Lepisosteus oculatus: one gene and its partner. The protein of the gene in region 2 interacts with the protein of the main gene of each other region in a pairwise test. Links are inferred from orthologs where the notes say so. Each region holds a gene or a part of one and is shown on either strand. Other genes may lie near its edges.

What was found.
Region 1: the proteins of cfap206 (region 2) and transcription factor SOX-30 interact in binary tests that used the Homo sapiens proteins (3 or more experiments, as listed by UniProt). The two-hybrid records come from large-scale screens. The link is inferred for Lepisosteus oculatus from reciprocal best matches to the Homo sapiens genes CFAP206 and SOX30.

Annotation. Positions count from the first base shown.
Region 1 is NC_090706.1:28,067,391-28,077,458, forward strand, and holds the start of transcription factor SOX-30, read right to left. Parts: upstream 4,280-10,068; 5' UTR 3,767-4,279; coding exon 3,085-3,766; intron 2,088-3,084; coding exon 1,848-2,087; intron 817-1,847; coding exon 637-816; intron 1-636. UniProt on the Homo sapiens protein: Acts both as a transcriptional activator and a repressor. Binds to the DNA sequence 5'-ACAAT-3' and shows a preference for guanine residues surrounding this core motif. Binds to its own promoter and activates its own transcription.
Region 2 is NC_090697.1:8,348,139-8,358,123, reverse strand, and holds the start of cfap206 (cilia- and flagella-associated protein 206), read left to right. Parts: upstream 1-5,593; 5' UTR 5,594-6,041; intron 6,042-6,052; exon of another isoform or gene 6,053-6,084; intron 6,085-6,107; exon of another isoform or gene 6,108-6,256; intron 6,257-6,305; exon of another isoform or gene 6,306-6,611; intron 6,612-6,736; 5' UTR 6,737-6,833; intron 6,834-7,213; 5' UTR 7,214-7,222; coding exon 7,223-7,330; intron 7,331-7,940; exon of another isoform or gene 7,941-8,096; intron 8,097-8,784; exon of another isoform or gene 8,785-8,838; intron 8,839-9,122; exon of another isoform or gene 9,123-9,306; intron 9,307-9,649; coding exon 9,650-9,733; intron 9,734-9,985. Other genes in the region: uncharacterized protein, read left to right, coding at 46-239, 1,447-1,580, 2,348-2,580. UniProt on the Homo sapiens protein: Essential for sperm motility and is involved in the regulation of the beating frequency of motile cilia on the epithelial cells of the respiratory tract. Required for the establishment of radial spokes in sperm flagella.

The DNA of each region.
Region 1 (10,068 bases), on a different chromosome or scaffold from region 2:
CTTCCAGAAGCCTCTGGGATTCTCTGGCAGGACCAGAGAAGAGCTGTGGGTCTAAGAAAACCCTCACATATCACAGAGGTGAAGGAAGACTGAGACAGAATACCTCCCAGTCAATGTGAGAAATCAATCGCCTATTACAGGAAACGTTTAATTCAAGTTATTGTTGCTCAAGGGGTTGCCACAAGTTACTGATCAAGGGGTGCACTTACTTTTCACAAAAATATTGAATACTGAACGAGTTTTTAAAAATAAATCAAGGAGTACGGTGTGTTATTTGTCAAATGAGTTAGTTTTATCTCCTATTAGGACTTGTTGGGGACTTGGGGATGGTCAAATATATCTATGTTCAACCATGAACTCTTAAGGGTATTTTTATCACCACACTATCTAACAGTGAACTGTAAGTGGAACAAACATTGCTTTGTTTCATAGAACGTATTTAAAAAAAAAAACATTAGGAATGCATCTTTTCTTTTTCTAGTGCCGCAAGAAAATATTGAATTTCTACAGAAGATGTTGCGCTTTGTTTTCAAAACAATGCCAAAAGCCAGGTGCTTTTAAAACGCCAGTTGGGTTGCTTATTGGGAAGGTCCAGAGTCACAGCAAGCCCGTGTCTTTCCATTTCCCTGCACTCACCTGCAGGCGAGGGGTAGCTGGAGCCTATGTGTACCACTGGGGCAGCCATGGAGCAGGCAGCCGGACCAGCGGCCACAGCTGTGGGTGTACAGCTCTGCGAGGAAGCAGGCACTGAGGACGGCATGATACCAGGGGGGTAGCAGCACTTTTTCTTCCCTGGTCTTGGCTGATAAACCCAACCTAATAAAACAGGAGCACCATCATTGAAAGATTAGACCAATTAGATTAGATGACATATCAGAGACACGAATCAGTTCGGATGGCAGCTATAGATCTTTTCTTTCTGGACTGAACTCCTTGTTAGAATACCATCTTGTGTTCCATGTTTTCTTTCTGGAGATTAAACAACTGCACCAAGATTCGGTTAGTGTGTATGAACATTGTCACCATGAATGGCCTTATTCCACTATGGCCGTGATGGCAACACAGACACAGAATCTTCGTTTGTGATTAGGGTTTATCCAAAAACAATGAACTCACTATATTACTCCATTTAAAAAAAAAAGTAATTACATTTTGGATCAAGAATAAAAGAATGAATAGAAGAACAATCTTCTACACTCAAGTTCAAGTGTTACAAACCTAGCTTTCTAGGTATCATGGACAGCTATTTTCAATTTAAGATGACTGCAGTGATAAAGTATGAAATTGAAAGAGTGTCACTTTCTCCAGTATGCGTGCCTGATGCTCCTTGACATAATCCTCTTATAATTTAAAACTATTTCCATCTCAACACCAACTCACTGCATGGATAGGAAAAAACAGCAGATTGGCTCAGCATGAAGTCTGTACAACCCTCTTGTTGCTTACTGGCACATCTCCCTTTGCATCAACAGGAACTGAATGCTTTTCAGTTATTCATTTATCTAAAATCTGGAATTTGTGAAGAACAAATAAGAACTCATGAAGTCTGAGTTGACCGTTGCATGCAGATAGAAAGCAGATGATTTGAGGGAAGGCTAAAAAAGCTTTAATCACACCAGTGATCACTAGCAGTGATATGTGTGCATGAATGTGGGAAAGGAGTCGAGCACTTCCCCTGATAGTGTCAGGATAACAAGAGTAAGAGCCAAAAATACTCTTTTACTTCTACCACATGAAAACTGGCAGCGACGTGCGCCCAATAAATTAGCAGCGCTTGGACTTGTAAAAATAGCTGTGCTGATTGCTTCAAATCTGCTGTGCTTCGGCTGGCTCCATCTCTCACTCACCAGGGAATTCCTCTCGGTGCTTGTCTTTGATCCTCTGCGCCGCATCGTAGTAAGGCTTCTTCTGCTCCTCGGACAGCCGGTTCCACTCCACTCCCAGCTGCACGCTGATGTCCGCGTTGTTAGCGGTGGGGTTGGCTTTGGCCAGAGCAGGTCTGTGAATCCTGGCCCACACCATGAAGGCATTCATGGGGCGCTTGATGTGTCCGTTTCGCTCCTTACAGCAAGGAATCTGAAAATCCCCTATTAAGAGAATCGATCACGGGCAGGCTCAAAGTCTGGAGGTCACTTTCTCCATAGGAAAGGTGGAACTCGTTACAGTTATACAGCACTTTTCTGAACGCTCCATTCAAAGCGCTTTACAGGTAATGGGGACTCCCCTCCGCCACCACCAGTGTGAAGCCCCAAACTGGATGATACGACGGCAGCTATAGTGCACCAGTACTCTCACCACACACCAGCTATCAGTGGGGAGGAGAGCAGATTGATGAAGCCAGTTCATTGATGGGGATTATTAGGAGGCCATGACTGGCCAGGGGGAAATTTGGCCAGGACACTGGGGTTACACCCTTACTCTTTTTGAGATACGATGTGGAATTTTTAAGGACCACAGAGAACCAGGACCTCAGTTTTATATCTTATCCAAAGGAAAACGTCTTTTTTCTTTTATAGTATAGTGTCCCCATCACTATACTGGGGCATTAGGACCCACACAGACCACAGGATGAGTGGCCCCTACTGGCCCCCCACTAAGACCTCTTCCAGCAGCAGCCTTATGTTCCAACAGACACTTTTTATGATGCTTCCTTGAAACTTACTGAAATCTTGGCATACAAGAAATATGTAACTAAAACTATATCTGCACAATCTGCAACTTTATCTGCACAATATAAGGAGCATGTTCTGCTGGGTGAAAGCATGGAACGTTATCCAGCTAGTCATAAACATGATCTACTTCTGTGTAGACGTCTAGTAAAATACATTGTAGAATAAACTGAACTGACCTACAGAAAAGAAATGGGGGTTTGAATAATTGAAAAACACACTGCGCTGAATCTGAAAAAAAAAACGTTCTCTCTGTATCGTAGGCTCTTATTGATCGCGAATGTTATGTTTAATGCTTTTGCACATAAGTATAGAAAAAAAATCAGAGCATTTCAAAAATCCCTACATTAGCGGAGACAGTGTCAAAGCCAGCTGTCCCCTCTGCAGCCCTGCGTGACCTCGGGCGCGGAGTTACCTGACTCCGACGGCGGGAGGGTGAGCGGCACGTTTCTGGTCTCCACCTTCACGGAGGTGTGCGCCAGCGGCTGCAGCGCGATGGGCAGAGCGGGGAAGGGCACTCTGCTCAGCCGGATGGGCTCGGCGGTCAGGAAGGCCGTCGGGAAGCTGTGGTGCAGGACCGCCGGGGCCGCGCCTCCTCCCCGCCCCGCCGCCGCCGCGCCGCTGGGCGGGACCCGTTCCGTGTCCTCGGGCGGGAGCGGTCGAGGCGTCGCGAAAGCCCCGTCGCTCTTCTCTCCTTTCTGGCCGCTGGGAGTCGGCCCAGCGCGGGGGTGACCCACGCCTTCCGCCACTCGGCCCTCCTCGGTTTTCACTCCTCCATCGTCCCCGTTTGCACTTCTCCTCCTTTTCTCTTTCACCGCCACTCCCACCACGGTTTTCCCACTCGAGGACCTCTCCGCTTTAAAAATGACCGGTATATCTTCCCGCCTGGGGACCGTTTGGACACGTAATTCACAGGGCCCGCCTGCCTCGGTCTTAACTTGCTCCTCTTTCCGGCCGGACTCGTCACTTTGGGGTTTTCCGGGGCAGCCGGAGCGGCTCTGGCGCGCCTGGCTTTTGTTTTCCTTTCTGAAGCGATTTTCACTCCTTGTGGCGGGTGACGCTGCTGGTTTTGCCCCGGGTCCTGGGCGTGTGTCCATTGCGGGCCTCCGGCTGGGTTTAATTGTGATCTCAACGTCGCTCCTTAGTCCCTTTCCGTTGACAGACAGCGGCTGGAACGGCCGGAATTCAAAACGGACACCTTGCCGGCGCGAGAGAGAGGGGGGGGTCTTTTATTGGCTTGCAGGCGCGACGCGCAGCGGCTGTCACAATAGGGACCGCGGCGACCCGCGAGACGTCAAAAGGTTGCCATGGTTCACCTTCACGAACTGAATCCGTCGTCGCTAAAACAGCGTTTCTCTCACGAACCGTATGTGACAGAAGTCTTATAACCCCTTTAACTATCACACACCCTCTCACCCCGCTCGAAATCAGAACAATCAAAATGACACCCTAACACGAACACCAGTCATTCATCTGGACTTCACATCCGCGACGGATTCTTTCCCGGGATTCAGAGCGACCCCTTTGCCCTTGAAACACGTGGGAGCTGAAATGCGTTCAGATACCCCACGCATCTTGCACACGTGTGAATACGCAAGGAGGATGTTTTTTTTTTAATGACTGCTGTGCCTGAAGAGATTTTTGAAGCTAATAAATTGTATTGAGTGATGGTAGAGTTAAGACACGATATCAGTGTCTTTTAGTTAAATGAAAATAAAAGTTAATAACTTTCCGTTTTTTATCTGGTCTGAATCGTTTGGGACTCGAGACAGCTCACAGGATCCGTGAATAAAATCGCATAGTTGTGCAGGAAGACGTTAAAAAGTGTTTTTGTTTGAGTGTTTTAGAAATGCACTTTTTAGGTTAACTGATAATTATGTGTGAACCACTGTCGTGCAACACAGTGGTGGAGTGGGTAGTGTTGTTGCCTCACTCCTCCTGGGTTCTGGGTTTGATTCCAGACTGGAGTACCTTCTGTGTGGAGCCTGCATGTTCCCCCTGGTGCTAGAAAGTCATCCCACCTTCCACAGCCGTGTGTTTGGGTCAGCTGGGGGTCTCTAAATTGCCACCTTGATGGACTGGTGTCCCATTCAGAAGGCAGTCCCACCTCTGGACCACAGGCCTCTCCAACAATAAGTGGTTTTCCTTTGTTTTTTTTTTTCTTGAACCGAGAAGAGTACGTGGAGAATCCACAGTCCTCAGACACACTGACAGTCAACCCAGAGGACATCTTCAGAATCACCAGTAAAATAGGGACCAGGGGAAACCACAAGGAAGAGCATTTAACTCTGAGAACAGGAGGCACCTCTTTCCACAGAGGGTGGTGGGAGTGTGGAACATGCTGCCCAGCCATGTTGTTGAAGTTGAAAACCTGGTTTCTTCTAAGAACCAGTTGGAGGGGAATCTTGGATTGATTAGCTCCTAACCACCAGACTTGATGGACCAAATGGCCTTCTGTCATTTGCAACCCTCCTTCTACTCTTTAATTGAGCTGTTTAGTTTTTAAAAACATCTACCAGTTGCTTTTAATTACACCCACTGCATTCCCCAGTCTCCAGTTGTGCGATTTTCACAGCTCGAGACGCAGGGGTGGACACCGAGGGTGCACATAGGGGACGACGGAGCGCAGGCAGCCCCCTTCAATCTGCCCCCATACCGGCGCTGCGTTTGCAGGAAGCTGAGAGAGCCCTACCCCACCGTACCCTCGCCAGTGTTCGGTCAGCTGCTGACAGGACTCGGGCTCGAACCCGGGACACCAGGGTCGTCGAGCACCAATACTGGCTGTTGACGTGGGAGGCGTTTCCAATAACAGATGCATGATAAACCATGCATCCATTTGCTCTGTGCTCTAATTCAGAGTGGTGGGGGAGCTGGAGCCTACCCTGGCAAGCAATGGGTGCAAGGTGGGGTGCACACTGGGTGGGATGCAGACACAGACACAAACATACACACAAACACTCACACCAGGGCCCTTATTCCCAGAAACCAGTTAAGCTACCTGTATGTGTCTGGACTGTGGGAGGAAACCCATACACAGGGAGACCACATAAACTCCACGCAGCGACAAAGATAGTGTCCCCCGGTCCAGAATTGTACCCAGCGCTGCGAGACAGCAATGCTAACCATTGCGTCACCACGCCGCCCCATATAACTAAACCACTGGCAAAACATACAGGATGTAGGAAAAAAAGAAGCTGGTGGTTTCTAAAGCTAAACATGGCTGTTTTAGTAGCTTACATATCTCACAACCTCATTTAAAAGATCTTATAATGAGAAGTTGAAAGGAAGAAATTCTACATAAAACCAATATAAAAAACCATGCAAGAGCCCTATACAAATCCAGTCACTGCTTTATTAAAAACTGCATGAAGTACAGACATAGGTGTAGCTTAATTCAACATTACAGACAGCAGAGATGCGACTACAGAGTGACCCAGCTTTGGATCAGCGCTCATGTTCATCATGGAATGCCTTCTTGAGATTTAGGTCTGCCCATCACTACTACTGTTTTTCCACGTAATATAATTGCTGCGGAGTTAAAGCGCTTACTTGTTCACCATTTCTTTCCATGTGAAATGGAAAAAATCACACCCATCTTTTCACCTGTGGTTATAAAACCCACCAATTTCAGTTACAACTACCTCTGGGCAGAAAACAGGGTAGATAAGCACTTCACAGCTGACACAGCAGGGCTGAAGGAAAGCCAGGCCAGAGTATTAGGTAAACCACTCGTCTCCTCCTTTCCTTCTGGCACCAGAGATAAACAGCTCCACCTGTTTGTGACCCCTCCTCTGCTCAGGCCTTCCATTATACAGCCAGAGCTGGTGTTTAGCCCGTGGGGAATGTGCGCCGTCAGGTGTGTGCTTGGCTAGCTCTCCCCCTCCAGAATCTCGGGGTGCTCCTGCCAGAACTGGTCCCCGATGATGTCACAATGCAGGGCGACGACTCTGCTCCGGCTGCGCGTCACCACCACCTCCTTCTCCTGCTCTTCGCTCGCACGTTTCACTGGTTTCGTCACGGTTTCGTTGAACTTCGAATGCATTTAAAAATGGGGTTAAAAAGTTACGCTTTTTGGGGGGGTTCAAAATGCAGAAAAGCCAAGCAGCCTAAAATCTAACTACACGCATGCAGACACTGCTATATCCCGATGCAGGTCAGCTATTCTGGTGTACAGGAATGAAAACGGTATCACACAGTATCACACAAGATGCATTCCTGACTAACAGACACAAATACTGGATAAGACAAAAGATGAAGGATCATCTTGGAGAAACAGGAATTATGTAAACGGCATGTTTTCATGAAAGACTTTGCTGTCTTTGCATTTCACCTTTTTCCAGACCAGAGCTGTGCCTTTCCTGTGGAGTAGAGGCTCGTTGTTGTAGTTAATGTTGAACTCTGCAAACAAGATCTCGTTCTTATCGGCTGCTAGAGTGCCCTAAAAAACATGAATGGAAAGCATCAGCACCTCTCCAGCAAACGCCATCTTGCACTGGCTGCTGTAGCCAAGACCATCAGGCACCAGGTGGTGTGATAAAAGAATCCATCCACCTTCTAAACTGCTTTATCCAGTACAGATATATTGGGGGAGCCAGAGCCTATCCCAGCAAGCAACGGGCACAAGGTGGGATACACCCTGGACAGGATGCCAGTCCATCACAGTGCACACACACACAGACACACAATTTTCCCAGAAGCCAATTAAGCTCCCAGCATGACTTTAGACTGTGGGAGGACAGCAGAGCATCCGGAGGACACCCATGTTAACATGGGGAGAACATGCAAACTCCACACAGACAGAGCCCAGGAACTGAACCCAGAGGCCCCGGCACTGCAAAGCAGCAATGCTAACCAGTGCGGTATCGTACACCCCACACACAAACATAAATAAACCACTGCACTACCAGAATTGGAACATCTTAAAACTCAACAAGCCAACTCAAATGGCCCAGCCCAGCCCAGAAAAATCAAATCTGAAAATATCATGGACCACCCCAAAAAAGTCCCATCCCAGCTGAATGATCACGTTACAGGTTTTTTTCAATGGCCGGCAAACTGAACGCCAGACACTAGAATCCTGTTTTTTAAACCTGATGAACAGCATCGAGCCTTTGTGTTACAGAAGTAAAAACATGCAGGGAAGTTAAAATACTGTGACGTTGTTTCACATGATTTCAGTTTTAAGTCCTAAGCATTTCCCAGGCCTTTTCTGTTTTTCAAAAGACACACACATAAATTAGCACGATACCATATGTCACTAAAATTGTACAAGGAGGCCAATCCCTCTTCATGGGTATTCCTGTGCTATAAGGGCCCTTATCAGCTCTGGGTTTTATGAAGAATTTTATACAAAAGCTGAACTGCATTCTGCATGAATGTCCTAGATATCGACTCAGGCCCAGAAGATGAAAGTGCTGATCAGAGCGTATTTACCGCAGTGGAGAGTCATCACCTGATGTTTACGGTTCAGGCCTGTTATTTTCCAGTATCTGAGTTGTAATTAAGTCCCACAAGCGAAGCTGAGTGATAAAGCCCCGTAATAAAGCTAAGGATTCAATTACACACAGGATGTGTCCAATCAGAAACCTGCTTCTAAAGAATTTACCTTTGACGTGGTATGAAGACCTTAAAACAGCTTCTGTGTTTTCTTTGTGATTTTTATATTTTATTAAAAGCTTTGATGACTCCTAAAATAATTAGAGAGGTGTCCTGTTTTAACTCAAGAAGGACCGCCATAAGCATCTTTAGATAAACATGTAAGAATTAGAATAAAAATTCAAATTCTGCTAATTCTTTACCATGGATTATAAAGTACTGCTTGTTAGGTGACTGCAGTCATAAATTTGTCTCAGATGATTAATCACTAAAAGTGGCTTTCTAAAGCTAGAAAAAAAAATACATTTTTAATTTAAATTTACATTTAAATTAGAAGTGAATTACATTTTTTTATTTTATTTTATTGGTCACACCAGCTGTTTCAGAAATCTAGCCCTCTCTTTGAAAGCACAGCAATCCTCCAGTTAGCCCACACACACACACCCCAAAAAACCTTCTCACCCTCAGTCTCTCCTCTGCTTGGGATGTGGTCAGCCCACCCTTCTGCACCAAAGTCCAAAACACCGTGTTGTACAAGTTATTAATATGACCTGGAAAACAGGAGCACCACGCGAGTCAAAACAGTGGTCGGAGATTCAGGATGTGAGAAACAGAAACAATCCAGCAAGAGAGCAAAGAGATTCCAGTCGCTGAACATTTGTAGAGCTGTCTTCTTTCCACTTTACCCAGTACAGCGTCGCGGAGGAACTGGAGCAACAGGCACAAGGGAAGGGAACACTCTGGATGGGACACCAGTCCATCACAGGACACGGACACACTCACACTCAAACCAGAGCCAGTTTTCCCAGAACCAGCCTATCTACTGACTGTGGGAGGAAACCCACACAAACTTGGGGAGAACATACAAACGCTACACAGACAGCAATCCCAGGGATTGAACCTAGGGCACCAGCACTGTGAGACAGCAGGGCCGACCCATCTGCAGAGCAAAATTTTCAAATGGAAAACAAAACATTCACATGTTTTATTTAGTCGAAAGAGTCTCTGGTGGTGGAGAATGAAGCGCTGGGAGCACTCACAGTCGGCCTGTCTCCAGCTGAGGTAGTCTCTGAGGTTCTGGTTGCTAGGATACAGCACCACCCTGCCATCAAAGCCAGGGGGATACTTCAGCTCCTGGTCCCCAAAATAGTCCTTCCAGTAGAAGACGTAGCTAGAGGAGAACTGCGATGCCACATGAGTCATCAGCTTGCTGTAGAGGCAAGAGAAGATAAGATGGGCACGCTTGTGGTCTCTGTTACCCACCAAAATGTAAAATACAGCTATTCACAGTGTGTTTGGCAAGAAGAGGCAAGCTCACAGACGCACTGGGCTTCACATTTGTCCTGTGCTGTGGGCAGTCAACGGTGACAAGTGAGGCTATCTTGGTCATAGCTGTGTGGGTTTTAGTGAGACAGGATGCAGGCTGCCACAACGTAATTTTAGATTCTTTCCACTGCAGTGGGTCAGAGGTCTCCGGAGGTGTGTAGAGCCTTTAAGAGGGTGTCTTCTCTCGTGTCCTTAAAACCTTTGCAGGTCAGGTCTCTCCCGTATATACAGACCTTTTTAACCTCTCTCTGTCCCTGTCAGTTGTGCCAGAGTGCGTCAAGAGAACAACAACCGTGCCACTGCCCAAGCAGACCGAGATAACTTGTTTGAATGATTACGGCCCAGTGGCACTCACTTCAGTGATATGAAGTGACTGGAAAGCCATGATTGGTAAGGGCCATGATTGGTAAAGGCCAATGGGAAATTTGCCCAGGACTCAGGATTACACCCCTACTCTTATCGAGAAACGCCCTGGGAT
Region 2 (9,985 bases):
GCGCTACGCAGGTCTAAGGAATGATACGGTCTTGTGCCCCTACAGCTGCTGCAGGAGAGAGGGTTCGCCTTCCGCACCACGGCGGAGCTCGAGATTGTGCGGGAGATCAAGGAGAGGTGCTGCTGTGTGGCTCGGGACTACGAGGCCGAGCTGAACGGAGCGAGGAGGGCCGCCGGCGTGGACATGTCGTACACACTGCCCGACGGGCGGGTCATCAGTTTAGGCACAGAGAGGTTCAGGTAAGTGTGCTCTCCGGTAACACGCTGGCTCTCTCCTGAGCCCTTTATAATAGGCTTGTCTTCAGACCCTTGGCACTGTGGCACGGTTTCCTGCTCGTAGGCTGTGGGAGGGGGAAAGCACAGCTTAAATGGCTGGTGGCTGGGTACATCTCAAGTCAGTTTCAACTTGGAGGGATGAAATTCTGCAGTTTTGAGCCTGTGTACAGTAAAGATTCCATAGTCAGGACATGGGATGTTAGTGTGCATTCGGAGCAAGCCGCAGCTTTAGATAATGAATCATTTCATGTGAAAGGTCCTAAAAATGACACCACCTTGGTTGAAAACTGGTGTTGTCATCCGAATGACAAAGTCCAAGTGTCTGTGTAGTAGGAGTACTGTATCTCTTTTTATATGCATATGGAAGAAGGGCTTGGAGCCACTGAACTAAAAAATAAGTAGCTAAAGATGGTCTTTTATACCGCAAAAACAAACAAGTTACTACAACATTCTGAACGAATGATCAGACAACACATGCCAATCTTGTTATTAATCATATCTAAGTTGCAGACTAGACAAAAGTTAGTTCCTTTCATATGTTCTGGGCACACAGCCAGCTTACAGTACCTCATAGATGCCCTTTAATCCTACTGACCAAGGACGGGCAGCATCTTTGTATATTTGGGTGCAAAGCCAACTACAAGCCACTAGACTGCATAGTTTGCAAAAATACAAAAATGATATTCTCACCTCCCAGATGTCTCCCTTATCTCTTCTGGCTACACATTGGATATACATTCATACAGTATATCCAAAAACCAGCAGCTTGCAACCACTTCAAGATCAAACTGAACCAGTCTTATGGAGCTGCAGGTCAAAGCTTTGTAGGGTTTAAGTTTTATTATTATTGAATGAGTATAAGCAGAAGTGTTATATGACTTATAAGCAATTTTCAAGGAAAAAAGGCTATCCAGACAAGTTTATCTGCTTGTAATTCAGGTGTTGATTAACACTGGTGGAATGAGGACCTCGTGGAATTTCTTTAGAAAAGTGCAGCTGTATTCTGACTACAGTCCTCTGACAACATGATGCAAGCCTCAAACCACAAAGCCTGGACTGGTTCCCAGCCTGGAGCTGCCACCTGTTTGAAAGATCAGGCTGAAACATTGCTGCTTATGTGGCTGCAGGTCAGAACTTTGTCGGGTCTAATAGTTTTTTTTTCTTTTAACAGAGCCCCTGAAATTCTTTTCAGACCAGGACTGATTGGAAGAGACCACTATGGAATGCACGAGGCCATCTTCCGTTCCATTCTGCGCTGCGACATCGACCTCCGGAAAAGCTTTGTGGGAAATATTATTCTGTCAGGTAATTCGCTTTCTTTGTTGCAACGGGCTCCGGCCTTTCATCAGGCATGTGCAACATTAGATGGCTGAGCGACATAGCTTAGCCCGCCTGAACGCTACGCAGGCTGGCATGTTAAAAGCGGGTCTTATAAGGGTATATGAGATTCCAGCAGCAGCCTTAGTTTTTCCAGGAGGTCTCCCGTCCGGGGTACTGGCCAGGCTCACACCTGCTGAGCTTCAGTGGGCTGGCAGTTGGGAGTTGCAGGGTGCTACAGCTTTTGTGTGAAAAGTAAGGTAGATGCAGTAAAGAAATTGTGCACCTACAAGAGGTGCTTTTAGTCATTAAATGAACCCAAATTCCTTATGGAGCCAGAGTCATGGATGCTTATATATTATATAGCCGGGTACCTGCTGGCGCAGAAGGCTGATGCATGTGACCCAGGTGAGAGCTGTGCTTCAGTGGTATGTCATTCAAAAGTGCAGAGTGGCTCACTGGCACTTGCAGCGTGTTTGGGGATCATTTGCAATAAAAATAAAATAAAATAGTGGGTTAACTTGTAAAAATAGTTTCATTTTTTCCATCTCACTTTCTCATAAAACAGATTTTTTTAAAATAAACACTTTTTTAAAAGGCCAGAAACAGCTAAATGAGTTGAATGTGTTTTCCAGTAGGGTCCAGTAATGACTGGTGCTTTCCGCTGAGTTTTTTTTATTTTCCCCTCGCTCGTGCGCGGTGCCTCGAGGTGACTAACAGCCGTGCGCGTGTGTGTGTGTGTGCTCTGGTTGAAGGCGGGAACACGCTCCTGGCCGGCCTGGCACCGCGGCTGCGGGAGGAGATTGGCGCCATGGCGCCCGCGGAGCTGTGGGACAGCGTGCGGGTGGTGAGCCCCGAGGACAGGGACTGCGCGGTGTGGCGCGGGGGCGCCGCCCTGGCCAGCCTCCCCTCCTTCTCCACGGCGTGGATCACCCAGGCCGAGTACGAGGAGTTCGGCCCCCAGGTCGTCTTCAGGAAGTGTTTCTGAGCCTCACCCAAGTGGGCCTCTCATCTTCTTCAAGTGCAATTTTGTATTATACAGAGATTTTAATAGTGCCATATTTTTCTTATTTTAAATGTCCTACCGAAAAGTGTTCAGGGATTTGCTTGTTCTGCTGGTAGAGCAGGTTTTGTCCTGTTTATCGGGTTTTAACTTTGCAAAAATGTTCCATGTGATTTTTTTGGTGAACAAGCTCAAAGTGGTGGAAGGTTCTTTGACAAGGGCTATAAACTAGAGGGGTTCAGCACCCGTTTAACAAGTTATTTAAACATGCTGCTAATTATTTTAAGAAGATTAATTGCAATAAAATGGAAGGTGCACTTGATACTGTGAAAAGGCTTGTTCATTGAAACTGTCTAGTTACTTGATAGATTCGTTGAGAGCTAATTTTGCCACCAGCATCACAGGCTAGTTTCTCTTGGACTAGACAGGACATAAGCAATGTTACTGTTATTTTGAAGAAGGCTGTTTTTAAGTCTTTGCAGTTAAACCAAGTACAAATAAAGCTTGAACTTGGCATGAAAAGCTGATCTCTGAAACTCCTGGTATGTCTGGTCATTGCCCCAGTAGTTTTAATTACAGTGGTTTAATCTTTAAACATAACCTTAGTCTGAACAGACTGGGCCCAAATGAATAAATGTAATGGGGGAATGGATCTGATGCCTTTATTAACGTCACTGTTTTTTTTCATTTCTATATGTTAAATATCTGTTGTCCACTTATGTGTTAAGGACGTAAGACTGTCTTTTAGTGCACCAAGCCATTTGGAAATGTTATTTTTCTCTTAATTCATTTTTAAATGTTTTTTTGTGTTGTCTTCTCAATGTTTACTTGCTGCTTGAAAGACAGATGGGTCCTTAGCTAATTCTGGGCAAGTGATCCGACACACAGGACAGGAATGTACATTTTCCTTTAATGCTAACAACTTTATCATTTGTATTGCAGGAAATGGCATTTATTAAATTGCCTTATGGTAAGGTATTTCCTATTGAAAAAGGATCTGCCTAGGCATCGTTAGTAATTGAATCTAAACATCTTCCCTAAACGGCTTAAGTAGTGCTTTATGGTCATTCTCCACGGAATTAAGATTTTTGTATGCAATTTGGACAAGTAGATTTCGGTCTTTGACATTTTCTGGTTTTTAAAGCACTTTGAGTTTATACTTTCTTCAGCCTAAATGCACCATTTTCTTATTGAGGTACAGTTGACCACCGATGTTCAGATTGAGGATGTTTTACTACCTGAATCTTTGAATGTTGACCAAATGGTTGTGAAAGGTGACCAGACATTAGCACTGTTCAGACCTGTCCTTAGAATCTGAGGTCTATGCTGTTGAGGTTTTAAACCAGGCACAAAAGGAAAAATGTTACATAAATGCTTTAATTTAGAATGGCTATCATGACTTCTTAATATTATATTGTTTCCCATAATTTAGAAAAAGTAAAGTAACACTTAAGGGCATCTATAGCTAAAGTGTATCCGTAAGCTTTTCCAAAAATATATTTCCTTGGCAATGGGTAAACGTCTGTGGTAGCCTTAAATTGATTCATCCAGGAGTCCAGATTTTTAAAATATCAATGCATTTCCTCAGGTTACCAGACCTCCACTATCGTTTGTACAAAACAAATATACTGTGCGAATGTATAATATCTGTATTTTTATAATAAATATTTATTTTCTTCAGAATTTTCTTCAGAAGGATCTATCATTACCCAGTAGAGTATAGCAATCTTTAAGCACTGATTGGTGCACATAAATGTATCCTATTTTATATAATACTATTGCACTCATGGTGCTTTTCTGGACACTCCACTCAAATAACTTTACAGATAATGGGGCCTCCCCTCCATCACCACCAATGTGCAGGCCCACCTGGATGGTGCGACAGCAGGCAGTGCTCCAGTGCACTCCCCACACACCAGCTCTCAGTGGGGAGGAGAACCGTGATGAAGCCAATTCACAGATGGGGATTATTAGGAGGCCATTATCAGTAAAGGCAAATGGGAAATTTGGCTGGGACAGCAGGGTATCACCCTACTCTTTTTTTTGAGAAAAACTGGGATTTTTAATGAGTCAAGACCTCAGTTTTATGTCTCGTCTGAAGGATAATGCTTTTATTTTTTACACTGGAGTGTCCCCATCTCTGCTGGGGCATTAGGACCTACACAGACTGCTGGGTGAGCACCCCCTACTGGTCCCACTAACACCTCTTCCAGAGGCAAACTTAGCTTTCCCAGGAGATCTCCCATCCAGGTACTGACCAGGCTCACACAAGCTGCGCTTCAGTGGGGTGCCAGTTGTGTTCAGGGTGCTACAGCTTTTGTGTGAAAGTATGGTAGATGTAGTAAAGAAATTGTGCACCTACAAGAGGTGTTTTTAGTCATTAAAATGAACCCAGATTCCTTATGGAGCCCGAGTCATGGTTGCTTATATATTATATAGCCGGGTACCTGCTGGTGCAGAAGACTGATGCATGTGACCCAGGTGAGAGCTGTGCTTCAGTGGTATGTCATTCAAAAGTGCAAAGTGGCTCACATGGCACTTGAAGAGTGGGGATCATTTGGAATAAAAGAAATCTGCAAATAGTGAATTAAATTCTGTAAATAGTTCTATTTTTTCACTTTCTCATAAAATTGATTTAAAAAAAAACACTTAGCAAGAATAACGGGAACAAAGGCAGAGACAGCTAAATGCGTTTAATGTATTTTCCAGTAGGGTAAAGTAATGATTGGCACATTACGCTTGTTTTTTTTTTTTTTATTGCAATTTAAAACGTAGTACAAAAATAGTACATCTCTGTAATCTTGGTACTCGAAGACATTCTGGAAAAAGACGGGTAGAGTTTCTGTTATGTTTTTAAATAGTTATATACAGTAGATTTTGTTGACTAATTCCTCCGTTTAATTTGCCATGAATAAGTTTTGAAAGATATCCGTCGTGTAGAAACAGGCGGTACCCTTCTTTTATATCTACTGTACATATTTGCGTGTATACCAGTTTGTTTTACTAGGGGGTCTTTCACTTCTCCGAGAATGATAGCATCTTACTACGGACTCGGGAAGTGGATAATTTGGGGTGGGGGGAGGTTTATAACTTCCGATAGTCCGACTAAATACGCTAAATTTGTATAGTCTCTTCGCAGATATTGAAGTAGCGTGCAGTTGAATAGTACAAACATGCTGCTGCTACAGGTATATGTCGCTTCACGGTAAGGTTCAACGTTTACAAGCGGAATATACGCTTTTACGTAGGGTTTCATTCATTCAGTTCCCAGATTTTCTAATGGTTTTCAACTCGCAACGCAGTACAAATCTGTAATGAGTATTTTATTGCTATAATCGTTGTAAAGCTCTACATTAAAGGATGAGAACGGAGTCGACAAAAAAAAACTTCTTGCTAGGTAGCCATAGCAACCGTCCAGTAAACAGGGGACCTGCTGCAGAGACCAGGTAGGGCGAACCGGCGTTAAAGTTTGTTTTCCGCTTTAGAAATGTTCGTCTGCAGTTTTTTTTCCATATCATACATGTTTCACATTGCTATACCGACCCATGGGGCTGTTATAATGTTATTTTGCTTTAGTTTTAACGAGGGATTTTCAAGTGACTGTAACCTTTTTTGTAAAGTGTGGGATAAATCGTGGCGGCCGGGAGGTTACAGTCATTTGGTCTGTTTCCAGTTTTTCTATTGCAATCAAACAATGCACACCAAATACTCAAAAGTGCTGATCTCTTGCATGCCAGGACACTTGGCACTTTGGACTCGATGAGTCGTGTCGAAATGTAGGCTTTATTTTTTTAACTTAAAAACATAAATTAATGTCATCAATAAAAAGAAACGTCGTAGCTCTGTTTATATTGGCGATATGTAACATATGGTTTGTGTTTCTTTACGCGCTTTAGAGACAAACACTCGACCTTATTCTCGAACATGTACGTTAATCACAAGAGCCGGCTTGGCCACCTGCTCATGGTTCCCGATTGCGTTTAACAGGAGACTCCCAATATATATGTGCTAAACAGGTGATGTTTGATGCATTAAACACAAATACAGTTTATGACATCTATGAATATAAATGTTCATTTCCGTGAAGAAGGAATAAGATGTCCAGACCGGTACCTAAAACTAGTTTTTTTATCCTCACTAGGTGATGAGTCGCGCACAACCTTGAATTGGCTTCAAAACACATCAAACGAACCTCGTCTCGAGTCGAGAAGCCACATTTAGCAGAAGAATCAGCCTAAGTGGGGAAATGTAGAGTTTTATTCAGCACTAATGAAAAAAATTGCTTAATGTCTGTAGCTGTTTCCTGGTCCTGACGTATTATTGTATATTGTTGTGGGAATACGGCCATAATGTTCACAAAGATGGTCATTCCCATGTTATATTCTTCGCAGATGCCTTTACCCAGTGCAATTAACCAAGTATTCATGGATAAATACTGTATAAATGCATAAATTCCGAAAATACATCATTCAGATATACAGTAGTACGGGAAAAAGAGTAAAAATAATTATTGCAATAATACCAAAGCCGCAAGGCGAATCTGTTCAAATGCAATGGAACTTGTTTTGTTGAATCAAAGCGAAAATAGTTGTAAACTTTTTTTTTTTCCTTGCGGTAGCTCTTGAAGATGTCACGCGCACAGGCTGAGAGTGTCATCAAAAACATTATTCGTGAAATTGCTCAAGAATGTGCTGGCAAAGGACAGGCCGTGTCCGAAACACTGGTGGCTTTTATGGTAAGAATTGTGCATGGACAAATCTGGCGGAACTGGAAATCAATAGGAGCAGTACAGGGTAAAAAGCCATTTATTCTCTTTCATAAACATGAGCAGGGCTCTGGAAAAAGTCCAGGATGCTCAACCTTTAACAACTAAAATTGATTTTATTTATACGGGAATTATACTGGTATGCGTTTTTTGGTATTAAAAACAAAAACGAACATGTGTAACAGTATATCAAGTTATGACACCCGAAAAAGGCTCCACGGCCGAAACATTGTGTTTTTTCTTCTCTTATCAGCACGGAATAAACCTTTACTTGTTCCTTTGCAGCCTACGCGTGCTGACGCAGCTTCTCAGCTTAACTAGTCAAGCATGTCCTGTCTGCTACCTCTCAGAAACACTTCCTTGTTTTTCCTTTCCTTGTGCTCCCTGTTAGTGTATTTTTCTCGTGCTTGTTAGTGTGCTAGTGTTCCGCGAGTTCATGGTTAGGTGTTTGGCCTGGACTGCTCAAACCTTTCAGTATACATCATGTTTGATCACAAATTCTGAATTAGAATGTGATATAATTGTGAAAAGTGGTACTAGATGCATCAGTAGCAACACTGGAAAGATAATAACACTTCTAAATGCACAATATCCAAATTTATTTATACCCCATAAAGGTATACAAAATAATTGCTGCATATTCAGTTCTCTCTTGTTTTCAGTCATCTGGTATTCTCACAAAGCTCAAATGTTTCTAGACACTTCTTGAAACGTCTTGACGTCAGTCTGTTTGCCCCTGCGTATTAAAAGTGTGGAGGACACAGATGTAAAAGACTGATTATCAGATTGCCATTAGCAAAGCCAGAATATTGTCAAAAGAGCAAAGGTAAAAGATTTGCATCAACAGGTCTAAAAATAACATGATATTTGTGGCTTATGTGATGGTTGCTGCCCTACCAGGAAGAGAACAAAGCTTCTGCCTATGTCTGTGGTCAGAAAAGTGTTTTGGGAGAATAACTTACATTCAGACACAACAACTGGGAATCATCAAAACGCCCAGGCGTCATCAAGACAATATTTTGAAGTCTGCCATTTAAGGGTCTGCTCATGAATCTGTGGTACAGTATGTGGCAGAGCTCCAGGACAACATAGAAAGACTCAAAATGGCCAAACAGAAACTAGGTAACTCCCAAGTGAAATGGGACCACATGATGTGGTTGGATAAAGTACAAATACAGTTTTTGTCTCACCAGAACTGCAATTAGCACAGAAAGGTGAAGCTCACGATGACATAAAGGAAAAAAATGGAACTGTTCAGCTTTTAGGCTGGGTTGCGTATCCTAGTTAGAACTGAGAAACATAGGGATTGCCACATTATTATTACTAATAGGCAGTTACAAGTTAAAAGTGCAAAATAGAGGGGGGTAAACAATAATTAAAATAAATAATTATGAACCCCAAATTATAAAGATGTTAGAACTTACCCAAGTGGTTGGTATAGTTAGATGTACTTGAGTTCTTTGTTCTTGGGTTCAGCTCTGATGAAAGAGTGATGAAAGAGTAATTCATCAGAGGCAATCTGGGATTAACAAATATTTATTAACAATGAAAATAACACAAACTAAACAACACACAGCACAACGTACAACTTATTCTGTTTACAAACAAGGTGTCTACATCCTGATCACCCAGAATGCTAATCAAGTACTCAGAAGTCCTATAATGGGTTACAGGCCAAAAAGAAAGTTAAACCTAAATAAAACAGAATACAAAATGGAGCCCTCCTATAAATCTGGATGATCCAAAGTGAATGGTAACCTACCTATTCTATAAGTCCATATAACTCCCTATTCCATCTCTATCAATAAGAGTTCCCTTAAGAATGGAATTGCAAGCTCTCTTTAACAAGGTTCAGATATTTAGCTAGAATCTGGTCTTTAGGGTTGATTCAAACAAAGTCCTTTCAAACACTTCTCCTCTTTCCAGCTATTTCTTTTCAGTCTGTTCCTCTCTCCCTGTCTGCCTATTTGTGTTTTTATCCTGTGCTCTGGTTTCCTCCCAAAGTCAGAAGACATACTGTACTGGCAGGTTCAGTGGCTTCTGTAAATTGCTCCTGGTGTGATTGTGTGTGTTTGTGTCTGTGTGTCTGCCCATCCAGGTGTATCCTGCTTTACTTCCACTGTTTGCTCGGATCGGCTCTGACTCGCCTTCTGTACTGTATAAAGCAGTTTAGAAAATAGATGGATATATTAAGAGTTAGGCAAATTTGTGTTTATTTATTTATTGACATTGTTGCTACATCTCCTGAAGTGTTTATTATTCTTTTAAAGTTTGCATTCTATTGCACAGGTAAAAGCGGTTGTTTTGGATCCAAGGAATGAATTTAACGTTGATCGAACTCTTACAAAACAAGATGTACAGAAATTAATCAAGGTAATTTTAACATTTTTGCAACTCAGCTTTTCTTAGTAAAGGAGGATTCTATCTTCAAATCATCTCGATAAAATATACTTAATCAACCGTATTCAAAACTGCTTTGATCAGGGTTATGATGAAATAGCTGGCAACTCATCTATGTCAGTTGAAAGATGAGTTACAGCATAGTAAACACACAGATGTGTTTTATGATTCTGCAGCTCCATCTAAAGGCCAGTCAAAAAATAGTTTTGAAGATTCATTCCTACA